Linked DNA regions of Caenorhabditis elegans. The protein of the gene in region 2 purifies or fractionates together with the protein of the main gene of each other region. This does not show direct contact. Each region holds a gene or a part of one and is shown on either strand. Other genes may lie near its edges. The genes, in order: sss-1, mafr-1 and F48C1.6.

The links.
Region 1: the proteins of mafr-1 (region 2) and sss-1 purify together in Caenorhabditis elegans (affinity purification with western blotting, with the first as the bait; one study listed by BioGRID). This does not show direct contact.
Region 3: the proteins of mafr-1 (region 2) and F48C1.6 purify together in Caenorhabditis elegans (affinity purification with western blotting, with the first as the bait; one study listed by BioGRID). This does not show direct contact.

The regions. Positions count from the first base shown.
Region 1 is NC_003282.8:9,892,170-9,895,813, forward strand, and holds sss-1 (Sperm-Specific family, class S), read right to left. Parts: upstream 1,581-3,644; 5' UTR 1,529-1,580; coding exon 1,388-1,528; intron 1,343-1,387; coding exon 874-1,342; intron 827-873; coding exon 600-826; 3' UTR 570-599; downstream 1-569. Other genes in the region: msp-77 (Major sperm protein 77/79), read left to right, coding at 2,462-2,845; ssp-32 (Sperm-specific class P protein 32), read left to right, coding at 3,249-3,347.
Region 2 is NC_003279.8:10,621,461-10,624,878, reverse strand, and holds mafr-1 (Repressor of RNA polymerase III transcription MAF1), read right to left. Parts: upstream 1,707-3,418; 5' UTR 1,702-1,706; coding exon 1,619-1,701; intron 1,569-1,618; coding exon 1,229-1,568; intron 1,180-1,228; coding exon 1,058-1,179; intron 1,007-1,057; coding exon 814-1,006; 3' UTR 518-813; downstream 1-517. Other genes in the region: arch-1 (Protein archease-like), read right to left, coding at 232-408.
Region 3 is NC_003279.8:5,317,562-5,321,161, forward strand, and holds F48C1.6 (OCIA domain-containing protein), read right to left. Parts: upstream 1,741-3,600; 5' UTR 1,711-1,740; coding exon 1,555-1,710; intron 1,508-1,554; coding exon 1,377-1,507; intron 1,328-1,376; coding exon 1,246-1,327; intron 1,203-1,245; coding exon 1,089-1,202; intron 1,027-1,088; coding exon 772-1,026; 3' UTR 659-771; downstream 1-658. Other genes in the region: F48C1.5 (DET1- and DDB1-associated protein 1), read right to left, coding at 76-240, 290-424, 475-549; fbxa-145 (F-box domain-containing protein), read left to right, coding at 2,170-2,285, 2,331-2,808, 2,856-2,924, 2,976-3,079, 3,185-3,506.

The DNA.
Region 1 (3,644 bases), on a different chromosome or scaffold from region 2:
TAAATTTTTTTAACAATTTGTGCATGACAATAAAATAATTGAGAAAAAGATGAAGAGGTTTAATTCACAACAGAACAATCAATTATCCAAAATTGGCTTTAAAAAAACCCCCCGTTTCGATTCCTTTTCCAGATAATCCCTTCTCGTTAATGGCATGACACTGATCAATATTGTTAATAATGTCCCTAACCACACACATCTATAATTTATTGAGAGCGAATTCTAAGTCTCATGGAGGAACGACCATATCACAGCTGGAAAATTCAGATATTTCCAGAGGGTGGTTCTAGAAACTAGCTAATTAGAATGAACCTGTCCAAACGGATACACCACACCTTTTTCATATTGTTGACGGCAATTTATTGGCCACTTTACTTTTGCTTTCCTTGCTTTTCAGATATTGTAGGTTGCCTGGCAGACACAGGATTCTGCAAGCAAGGTTGCAAAAGGTTTATAGAGAGAGAGTTATAGAGAGAGGTTTAGAGAGAGAGCATAGGGCAGAGTAAAATTCTATCCAGGAAAATATTTCTGATGTGCTAGTGTTTTCCCAAAAGATCAAGATTCAAAAAGTCAGTGGAAGTATTTATTTGTCAAGAAGATCAAGCTGTAAAGTTATTTTGAAGAGCAGCCAGTTTCTTGTTGAGCTTCTGAATTTCATGAAAGCTATCAATGATCTTCTTCTGTTCTTCAATGACCATTCTCTGCAAGTAGACTTCCTGAAGAAGATGTCCAGGTCCAAGAATGATTGTTTCACTTGAAGAATCCGAGGTGGTAGAAGATGGAGAAATTGGAGATGAAACAGATTGAGCCGTGCATGGGAGTGATTCTAGAATTAATAAATATTTAAAAAAAACTACTTTCAAAAAAACTTACCATCTTCAGAAATATCGAATTTATGATTAACTGCTCCATATATTTTCATCGAGTCGATTGGAGATTTGACGAAAACTGGAAGTTGTGGGAAAGATGGATGAGCTGGAGAATTCCACAAAAACGTGTTCATATCTTCCGTAGCAACCTCCGTTTTCTCAAAAAATCCCTCGTACTTCCCGAAAAGTGATGCCGTAGATGTTGTGGAGGGTGCAGCAAACAATCCATTCATCTTCTCAAAAATCGATTCCATCTGTTCTTTCTCGTTATCAAGGCAATTAAAGCTCATCCAGAAATTGGCCATAAGCTCCGCAGCCTCATTGATCTTTTTTGATTCTGTAGTTGTTGGGACTGGGGAGACGGTCACCTCAATCAGTTGATCTGCTTGGAGAGCCAATAATGGGCAGCTAATGCTCTTCTTGATCTCCGCTGTAACTCTTGCAGTTGTTGGAACAACTGGGCAAGATTGAACCTAAAATATGACCCTTGGTTTTAAAATCCAGCTCGTTGTACAAACCTTGTTCAAAGCTGTCCTTGGCTGAGCCTTTTCAACGATCGGACAAATGACTGGAACTGTTTCCCTTCTCTGTTCGGCTTGACGCTCGATCATCTCGAGGAATTGTCCAAAAGCAGTGTAGACAGTAATCTTCTTGACCATAGTGTTAGTAGAGTTGATTGTAGTTGGTTAGTAGAGCGATGAAATTCGCAATAAGTAGATTTATGATTTCAAGCTTGTATATAATCAGTCTTATCTTGATGGCCTAAGTTTAAGCGTAGAAAATGAACAAACGGTCACGTAAAATTAGAATTGAAATCTTTTTATTTTATTACCTGATATAATGTTTCAAAAGTTGGGAAATAGCAACACCTGAAGATTTAAGGTTTAAGGTTTAAAAAATGCGACAAAGACATTTTTTGGACAATATTCTCAAAAATAAATGTATCCTTTCATTGCTGAAATTCGTTGTATATGTATGTATAGTGTTTGCCTTATGAGCCAAAAGTTCAAAAAAATTATAATATTAATCGAGAATTTCTGAAAATTGAAGAACTTGATCTTATCGTGAGCCTGCTTGGTCTGCTTACAATAGAGTTGGAGGTGGCCCCAACCCGAACTGCCGAAAGTTACCGTTTCTGGTCTAGATCAAAATAGATCAAGCAATACTAGATCAATTTTAGTATTTTTGTTGCACCTAAGTGCAAAAGAAAAAAGCAATATAAGTAGCTTAATACAAGTAGCATATCACAGAAAACGAAGAGGTAGTACTAGATCAAAATTAGTTTAATAAATAGTCTTCATTTCCTTATCCTCTAGACAAAAAACAAAAACAAAACAAGTAGATTAATAATTAGCATCTCACAGAAAACGAATAGGTTTCCTTTGTTACTCAAAGGTATCAGAACAAGTGTAAATTGATGAAATTATTCAAAATAGCTACTAGCTAAAACTGATTTTTTTTCAAATTTCAACGTGATCTCCTATTTTTGGATGAACTTCCAGATTTAGGGCAGAGATAAGAAGGCTGCTATAAATTTGGAAGATTTTGCCATAATCTTCATAGAGTTCTCATAACTCCTTCATCGAACGACCATGGCCCAATCCGTCCCACCAGGAGACATCCAAACTCAACCGGGTACCAAGATCGTCTTCAATGCTCCATACGATGACAAGCACACCTACCACATCAAGGTGATCAACTCATCGGCTCGGCGTATTGGATATGGTATCAAGACCACCAATATGAAGAGACTTGGAGTTGATCCACCATGTGGAGTTCTCGACCCAAAGGAAGCTGTGCTTCTTGCTGTTTCCTGCGATGCCTTCGCCTTCGGACAAGAGGATACCAACAACGACCGTATCACTGTTGAGTGGACCAACACCCCGGATGGTGCTGCCAAGCAATTCCGTCGTGAATGGTTCCAGGGAGACGGTATGGCTCGTCGTAAGAACCTCCCAATTGAGTACAACCCATAGAGTCCTTGTGAAATAAAAGAGTTTTTTATGAATGCTTGTTCTTTCTTTGAAACAAAATGTAGCCTCACTTGAGCTCTTCCTCTTGATCAGCTGGCTTAAATTCCATGCTTAAATATAACCAAGTCTCGAAAGTATACAAAGAATGTACACAAATTAATCGAAGCAAACCGGGCTCACGAATCCTATTATTTCTACTAGATAAAATTCGATTGACTCCACATCCTTTCCTGTAGAAATTTTTTGTTGCAATTCCTACTAACATGCGAAATGGCTTTTTAATAAAACTGTCTAGAAGTTCACTGAAATTTGCCAACTTTGTAACGTTGGACCACGTGGGTACATTCGAATTTCAAAACAAAGTAAACTCATTTTATTTTCAATCATTTTCATTTCTCAACTGAACATGCTAACCATCGAACCTCCATCTGCCACATTTCCAGCGTCAGGAGGAAGTTCCACGCACACAATTACGTCAGTGAACGAATCTCGAATGGCGTTTAAGGTATTCGATAACTGTTAATTAGCGATGTGCGCAGTATTCTCCATTCCGGTGGCAATGTGTGCATTGTGAGTCAGTTAATTTCTGAGGTTTCTGATGGACATATCGTAAATTAACTGCGTTTTTCCAAAGTGGTCTCGCCGCGCCCTTTAAGAAGTGCCTTGAATAACAAGAATGATCTGCCTAAATCTGCAATTTTTCACACTATTTTAAGGGTGCATAAATGTTTTTGAAATGCAGGTTTTTTGGCGAATCCATTTTGAAAAAAATGCTGCTCTTTTGAAACAGAAGCAAAACAAA
Region 2 (3,418 bases):
TGTTCGAAAATGAAGTCAAGAAGGCAAAAATTGAGCTTTTTTCTGGGAGCAGCTTCAAAACTAGAGAATACACGAACAAAAGCTAAAATTTCTACAAGATATCGATTTAAATTGCAATTTCATATGTTCATAAGCATATTTCAAGTGAAGTAAGAAAAATTAGACAAAACAGAGGAAAGTGGAAAAATTCTTAAAAGGCGCAAGAGGCGATCTAATTCAATTTCAAATTACCTCATCAACCTTGGCCAAATCCGTCATATAGCCGAACATTGATACGAGGCATGCTTCGAAGGCTTCTTCCATTGTGGATCCCCAAGAGTGAAGTTGAATATCTGCCGGATGATCGAGATATTCGAATCGCCGACGTTCGATCTCAGAACGATCTTCGATCATTGATGTGCTCGGCATTATTTCACTGAAAATAAATTAAACTGAACTTAACCAAATAAATTTGAGGAAAAATTGATTAAAATATCAGAACGGTTGAAACCAAAAAATAATCGATTTTGATTAACTTAAAAAAAACAATTTTATGTATTTATGATGCGGTTTTTGTGAAAATTGATATCTACGAGCCACGAAAAGGAATGAGAATCGAAGTATTTGTTCCTTTAATCTAGCGGTAGGTGTGTGGGAAGTGGCAAATTAAATGCGAACTCGAGAGGTGAAGGAGGAGGTTGAGGATTGATGAGAAATGGAATCTATTTACAAGAGAAGAACTACAAGAGGGAAAGAGGCTTGGCCGGCAAGACTAATACTATATCGCCTTGAATATTAGTCTATTCTAAGCGTTCTACATGAATAATCTGCACTCTATTTCTCTTGTGGTTCCGCCTCGTCTTCACTGAAATCGGGGAAAATTTCGATGGACGTGTCGGCTTGTTTCGATAGGCAACGAATTGTGAGAAGAACAAAACGTTTGAGTCCTTTGTTGTAGAAAATGAAGGCAAGTGCCCAAATGCAACCGTCTTCGGTAAACGGATCGTCTTCGAATTGGGACTTGAAGCTGAAAAATATGGAAATTATATAAAATATCCTCTCAAATCAAACGGAATACCTGTATATTTGACAGTCACCGGGCACAATTGCCTCATCAATAATTCCCCATAGCTCTTCTCTTCTCACGTGATAGTCTCTGACAATTGTCTCAAGCTTCATATCAACGAGACGGCTCAGGTCCTGAAAAATCATGCGCGTTAATGTTATTTAGCTGTAAGAAGCTACTAACCGAATAATTGACGAGAGCAAACGCTTCACTGTTGGCATTACTGAAATCGTGATCCGGAAACGAACAGTTCAGAACTTGAGTCAGATCATACAATTTCTTTCGCGAAATTGAGTCTTTTATCAGGTAGTCATTCACGTCGAAATCGTTGTCTGATCCTCCTGAGCACGAGCGTTCCGATAAATGGCGAAGCCGATGATTGTGACCAACACTGGGCGATGCACTCATCACCATTTCCTCGTAAGATCCTAGAGGCTGGCGTTCACCCCATATCACAGATTTATCGTTCGATTTCCATTGTTTCTTTTCGCTAGTAACCATTTTCGACGAATACGTTTCTAATCTGAAATTGAACGATTTGTTTTATTCTTAATATTGAGATAAATGACTCACTTGAAATCAATAACACAATCGATTGCTCCCGTAACGAGTGTCTGCGAAAAAACATCCATTTCGGAGCTTTCCAGAAACTTCATGGCTTCTAAAGCTTTTCAATAAATTTCGAGAACATTTGGAGAATTCAAGTGCGGAAAAATCCTACGTAATGAAGATTGCAATATTTAAAATCGCGCATTTTGAAAACAATAATTTAATTTTTAAATTTTACACTAAAATAACAATTTTAATTACTTTTTCAGAACGATTTATCGTGAAGAAAGGAAAAACTGCTGTAAAAAAATCCCATTGATTTAGCAAACTGTCGGCAACTTCTGTGTAATGTGTGCAATATTGTTGTTGGTGTTTGCGTACTTGTCTACCGTATACCTTGGGGGTAAAATGAAATTTGTTAAATTTCGCTTCGAAAGTCGTTTTGCAATTAAAAACTATAGTCAAAACTAGATTTTCAAATAATTGATGTCACAGGGGTCTAGAGAACGAAATAACACGACCATTTATGACAGAATCAGGAATATTTAGATTAAAAAATTAACAAGTTTCAAATCAAATTTTCAAAAGGCAATGAGATTCACAAGTTTTATATTCAATACAAGAATTTAGTGGAATTAATTAGTCCATTTTGGTTCATAAGGTGTTACTGAAATTGATGATATTTGCTATAACTTAATGGGAAACATGAGAAAAAACCTGTTTGAAAATTAGTTTTGCACCCTCTATTAGTTTTGCATCAAATTAGGTGTCCGAAAATTAGTTTTGCACGTCTTACTAATAGAGGATATACGGTATACGGAAAACAATTTAAAAAAATATTTTTATTTGAACGACCACGTACATCTTGATAAGGACTGGTATATGAGCAAGTAGTTTTAGTCATAGTGTTCAGTCTTCAACTTTTCAACAAATGGTCTGCCAAGAAGGATGGGAAGATGATGCCAATTCAACAATTCCGATGCTGTGAACGAAGATATGAGTATGCAAGGAACCTCCGAGTGGACCTCGGACGATGGAGCCGATTTACCTACAGTCGTGTGTGAATTGGAAACCAGTTCACTTCAACCAAACGGAATATTAAAGTGAGTGCGGGTCAGAGGTGTAAATCTGATGTTTTAAAATGTTATAAAACATAAAGTTTACAGCTTTTTGAGTATTGAGAGTATGAACCTTTTTTTTCAGATACTCATACTGGCATATGTCACAAAAACCCCCCGGACAAACTACTCAAGACGAAACGTTCAAAGGATAAATAGAGGAGACAGAGGAAAAAGAAGACAACTCCAAAGTGGGAGCTATTTTGTAAGTTTGTTGTTAAACTCATAAGCTTGTAGATGGCTTGCCTCAATACATTTACAAATAATGTCATATTGGTGTTTATTTCAGGAAGTACAACTGAATCGATTGGAAATTAACGTCAGGATGTGGATTGGAACAAGTAGCTGGAAGTGACTGGAAACCCTACTGTGTCGACGGCGGAGGAGACATGGTGCATGGATGGACAACTGAAACAATTTGACAGCCAGGCTACGTGAAGCTCAATGCTCCGCTCTGATCGACAGTATCTGCCTCCTACCTGCGTTGTTTAAGTAAAGCTGCAGAGATTGAATTAAAGTAATCCATCTGAAAAGAGCATCTCTATTTCTCAATCATTTCGTGTTTTTGAATTTGAAACTGTGCTGTTAGATTTTGAGAGCTTGAAATGGACGTAGTATTGTTTCATGTAGAGAGAAAAGAATTTCGAAAATTGATACAGTGAGCGACGTTCAAAATCGTGGGACACATTTTTTTTCAGCAAAAGCT
Region 3 (3,600 bases), 5.3 Mb from region 2:
CGAAATCGAATGTACAAATAAGAAAAATACCGGTAAAAATGAGGAATTATGAAGAAAAAAAAAGAGAAAAACTAATTATATGTCCTGTTGATTTCGTTGCTTCTTCCGTGAGGATGATTGTTGTGATGATGTTGATGGCTGATTGGCATCCTCGAGTTGATCATCGGATTCGGACGTTGAATGTTCTCGCTTCACACCTCCAGCTTCGCCTGCTCGACGTTTTTTCGTAGTTTCTTTTGGCTGAAAATTCGATGAAATTAAAAATTTTTATAATAAACTTAATAATTACCTTCGGAATATAATTCTTCTCTAAATGATTGATAATGAATGGAGTTTTTGGTGCCTTTATTTTGTAGCATTCTCCATTATTCTCGCCTTCAACATTCCGACAGACCACTTCGACAGGTTCAGTTTTCCGTACTGTCTGAAATTTATTATTTAAATATATCCAGAAACTAACTAAACCTGACTTACATCTTTTTTTGCGGACAACTTCGTAAAACTCTCAGGATTCTTGCACGGTAAAGGTCCAATCGTGAATTTTGACATTTTCAGATCAAAATCTGAAAATAAATATTTTGGAAATTAAAAAAATCTTCAATATATTCTCAAAAGGTATATTTTTGGAATTAACCAAAAAATTTCTAATAAAAAAATGTTTAAAAAAAATCAAAATAATTTATGATACAAAACAAGAAAAATGTAACCGGCGATGTGTGTACTTCACTAAATAAAATCTATGTAAGCAATTCCATTGAAAATGAATTAAATCTACGAAAAAGTGTATCCTTGTCCCTGATTGCTGTCTGACGACGGTCCAGAAGGTGTTCCAGACATGAATCCTGAATCTTCAACACCGTATGGCGAAGGAATTGGTGGAGATGGGCGGCGAGCTCGTGGAGATTGTTGGAATTCTGATGTCTCTCCTATTTCTGTCTTGTATGAAGAGAATGAACCGTCGTAGGAAGAATTATCGCCAGAAGAAGGAACACTGTACGTGTAATCATATGAATTTGGTTTCGGATTCTGAAAATTTTACGTTTGATTATTAGAATTTCTTTTTTTCAGCTTTCAGTAATATGTTTTACCTCAACTCTCTGAGCTGCTGCTTCGCCATCAATTCGCACTAAAGGAACTACGCCGGCTCCTCTATTTTGGCGGCGAATATCTTCGTAGTTTGTCGATGACTTGGCGAGGTCGTACTGAAATTGGCCATTGATCAGATATATTAACAATTGAATTTACTTTTTTCCATAGTTGATCAATTCTTGGCTTGATACGATCTCGGCATGTGCCCATGAACATCAAATTTGAAGCAGTGAGAGAACTGAAAAATCAATAAATTATTTCAGCAACAAAATGTTTAAAAAACATACGCAATCCCCATTATAGCATAAAATGGCCATCCTTTGGGACCAAAATGATATTGAGCGGGAAGGCGAGTACGAGCTAAATACAAACTGCCGAGAATTGCTCCAGTTATCGGCAATCCACGTGTCATTGTAACCTAGAAAAAGAAAAAGAATTAAAATACATGAAACTGAGATGAAATACCTCCGTGGTGCAAGTTCTCATCATTTCGGTCAATTCCTTTTGTTCGTCACTGGAGAGTTTGTTGAGCAAAGCATGAATCTGTTCGTTGTTGAGCTCAACCTTTTGAGAAGAATCTCCTGTCGGTTGAGAATACATAAAACCGTCGGATGAAGACATTTCTGCAATCAAAAGTAATAAAATTGGTTTGAGAAAACAAAACAGAAACATTAAAAAGAGTGAAAGTTCGCTCTATCGCGGAAACATTTGTTAGAGGGTGTTTTAAAAGCAGTTCTGTGACAAATTTCGTAATAATATAACAAGTGAATAAGTCAATACAGCATTAAAACAAATAAATAAAAGCAACACTTTAATTTTAATTGAAAAAAAGTAAAATCGAAACAAAAAATTTCGAGAAAAAACAAATTGACAAATTCTGCAAACATCGTCACGTAACAAATGCAGACGAGTTGCTGCGTCTCTCTTATCCCCACAGTCTCTCTCCTTCAGACCAAATTGGCTACCGTACCCACCAAATATTTTAATCGAAAGTTTGTTCGAAAATTGAAATTGAAGTATTTTATTTTTAATTCGATCGTTAAAGAAAATTGTTAAAAAATAGTTTTCCAGAAATATATAATGGGAAACTGTTCTGGCACTGCAAAAGTCGAGCTGCTTGAGTCCTTCGAGAACTGGAACAAGCTTCCACCTGAGATAAAGCTGGAATGCATGAAACATCTAGATTTTAAGACAAGGTAATTGACATGATTGAAAAAATAATAATTAAAAATACATTTCAGATTCATAATGCGTAGTGTTTCACGCACCGAGAGGATCCTCGTCGATTCACACAATTTCAAACTCGACTCGGTTCGAATCGAAGGTCTTTTGCCGTATCCTATGAATACAATTATTCAATCAAGTTTCGACACTCAAAAAATCACGATTAAATCTGGAAATCATGAACAATGTGTGGTCCATATGAGAAACCGTCTTCGATTTAATGAAACAATCGTCCCACTGCTTGTCTTCATTCTCAAAAATGCAACTATCAATGATTTTTCGATTGAAACAATTTTGAATATTGATTGGAGCAAAGTTCTACAAGATGCTCTCAATTCGAAGTCATTGAGCATCAGAAGCTTCAGTGGAGTATTGCTGAAATTTCAAGAAGCATTTTTCTTTGTCAATAAGCTCAATTACACTTCAAAGTCGATTTATCTTGACGGACATGGATGTAAAAATTTCCCAATAGATCAACTGATAAGTATAGAATCGGTATGCTCACTCGAACAAAAACTCAATTATACCATCCTAGATTTCAGGTTTCCAACGCATCATTGTTGCAAATTCGCGATGTTCAGAGTAAAGATATTATCTGGAAAATTGCAAATGTACATATTTCGAAATTCCATAAATGTGTTTAAAAATGTGTTGAATTTTAGAAATGGATCGAGACAGATGCTGCAATTGGAACGAGATTTCAGCTAACTTCAATGAGCAAGGAAATTATTACCCAATTCTCATCTCATTTCAAGAACAGAATCATGTAAGAATTAAAATGATAAATAATATCAAACAGCACAAAAAAATATTTTAGGGCAATTAAAGCAAAATTCCATAAAAATGTGAATAATACAACATTTATTTCCAGTTCCGCGTCTGACGTCGAGATTCTCATCAGGACTGATAACCCGATGAAGCATATTCTTCTCAAATTGGCAAGAACTTGGAGAGTTGCAAGACCATTTACTTGTATTGTAATTTCCGCTGAAACCGAACAATCCGAATTCGTCAACTTTGGAATGTGGGTCTCTAAAAAAGTGATACCACTTTGGGAATACATCTCTTTGTTCCTGGCTGATGAATTCAACGACGACGATGGTCTGAATTTGTCGAGTTTCCTTATTCTGCTCTTACACTGCATCTGGCTCATTTTCAGCATGCTGTTCAAGCGTACTTTCTACGGTCAATAACTCATATTTCTCTCAATTTGTTTTGTTATTTTGTTGAATTTTCTTATTGTTGAAAATAAAAAAAATAAAAAAAATCTACAAAAAGTGCAAATAT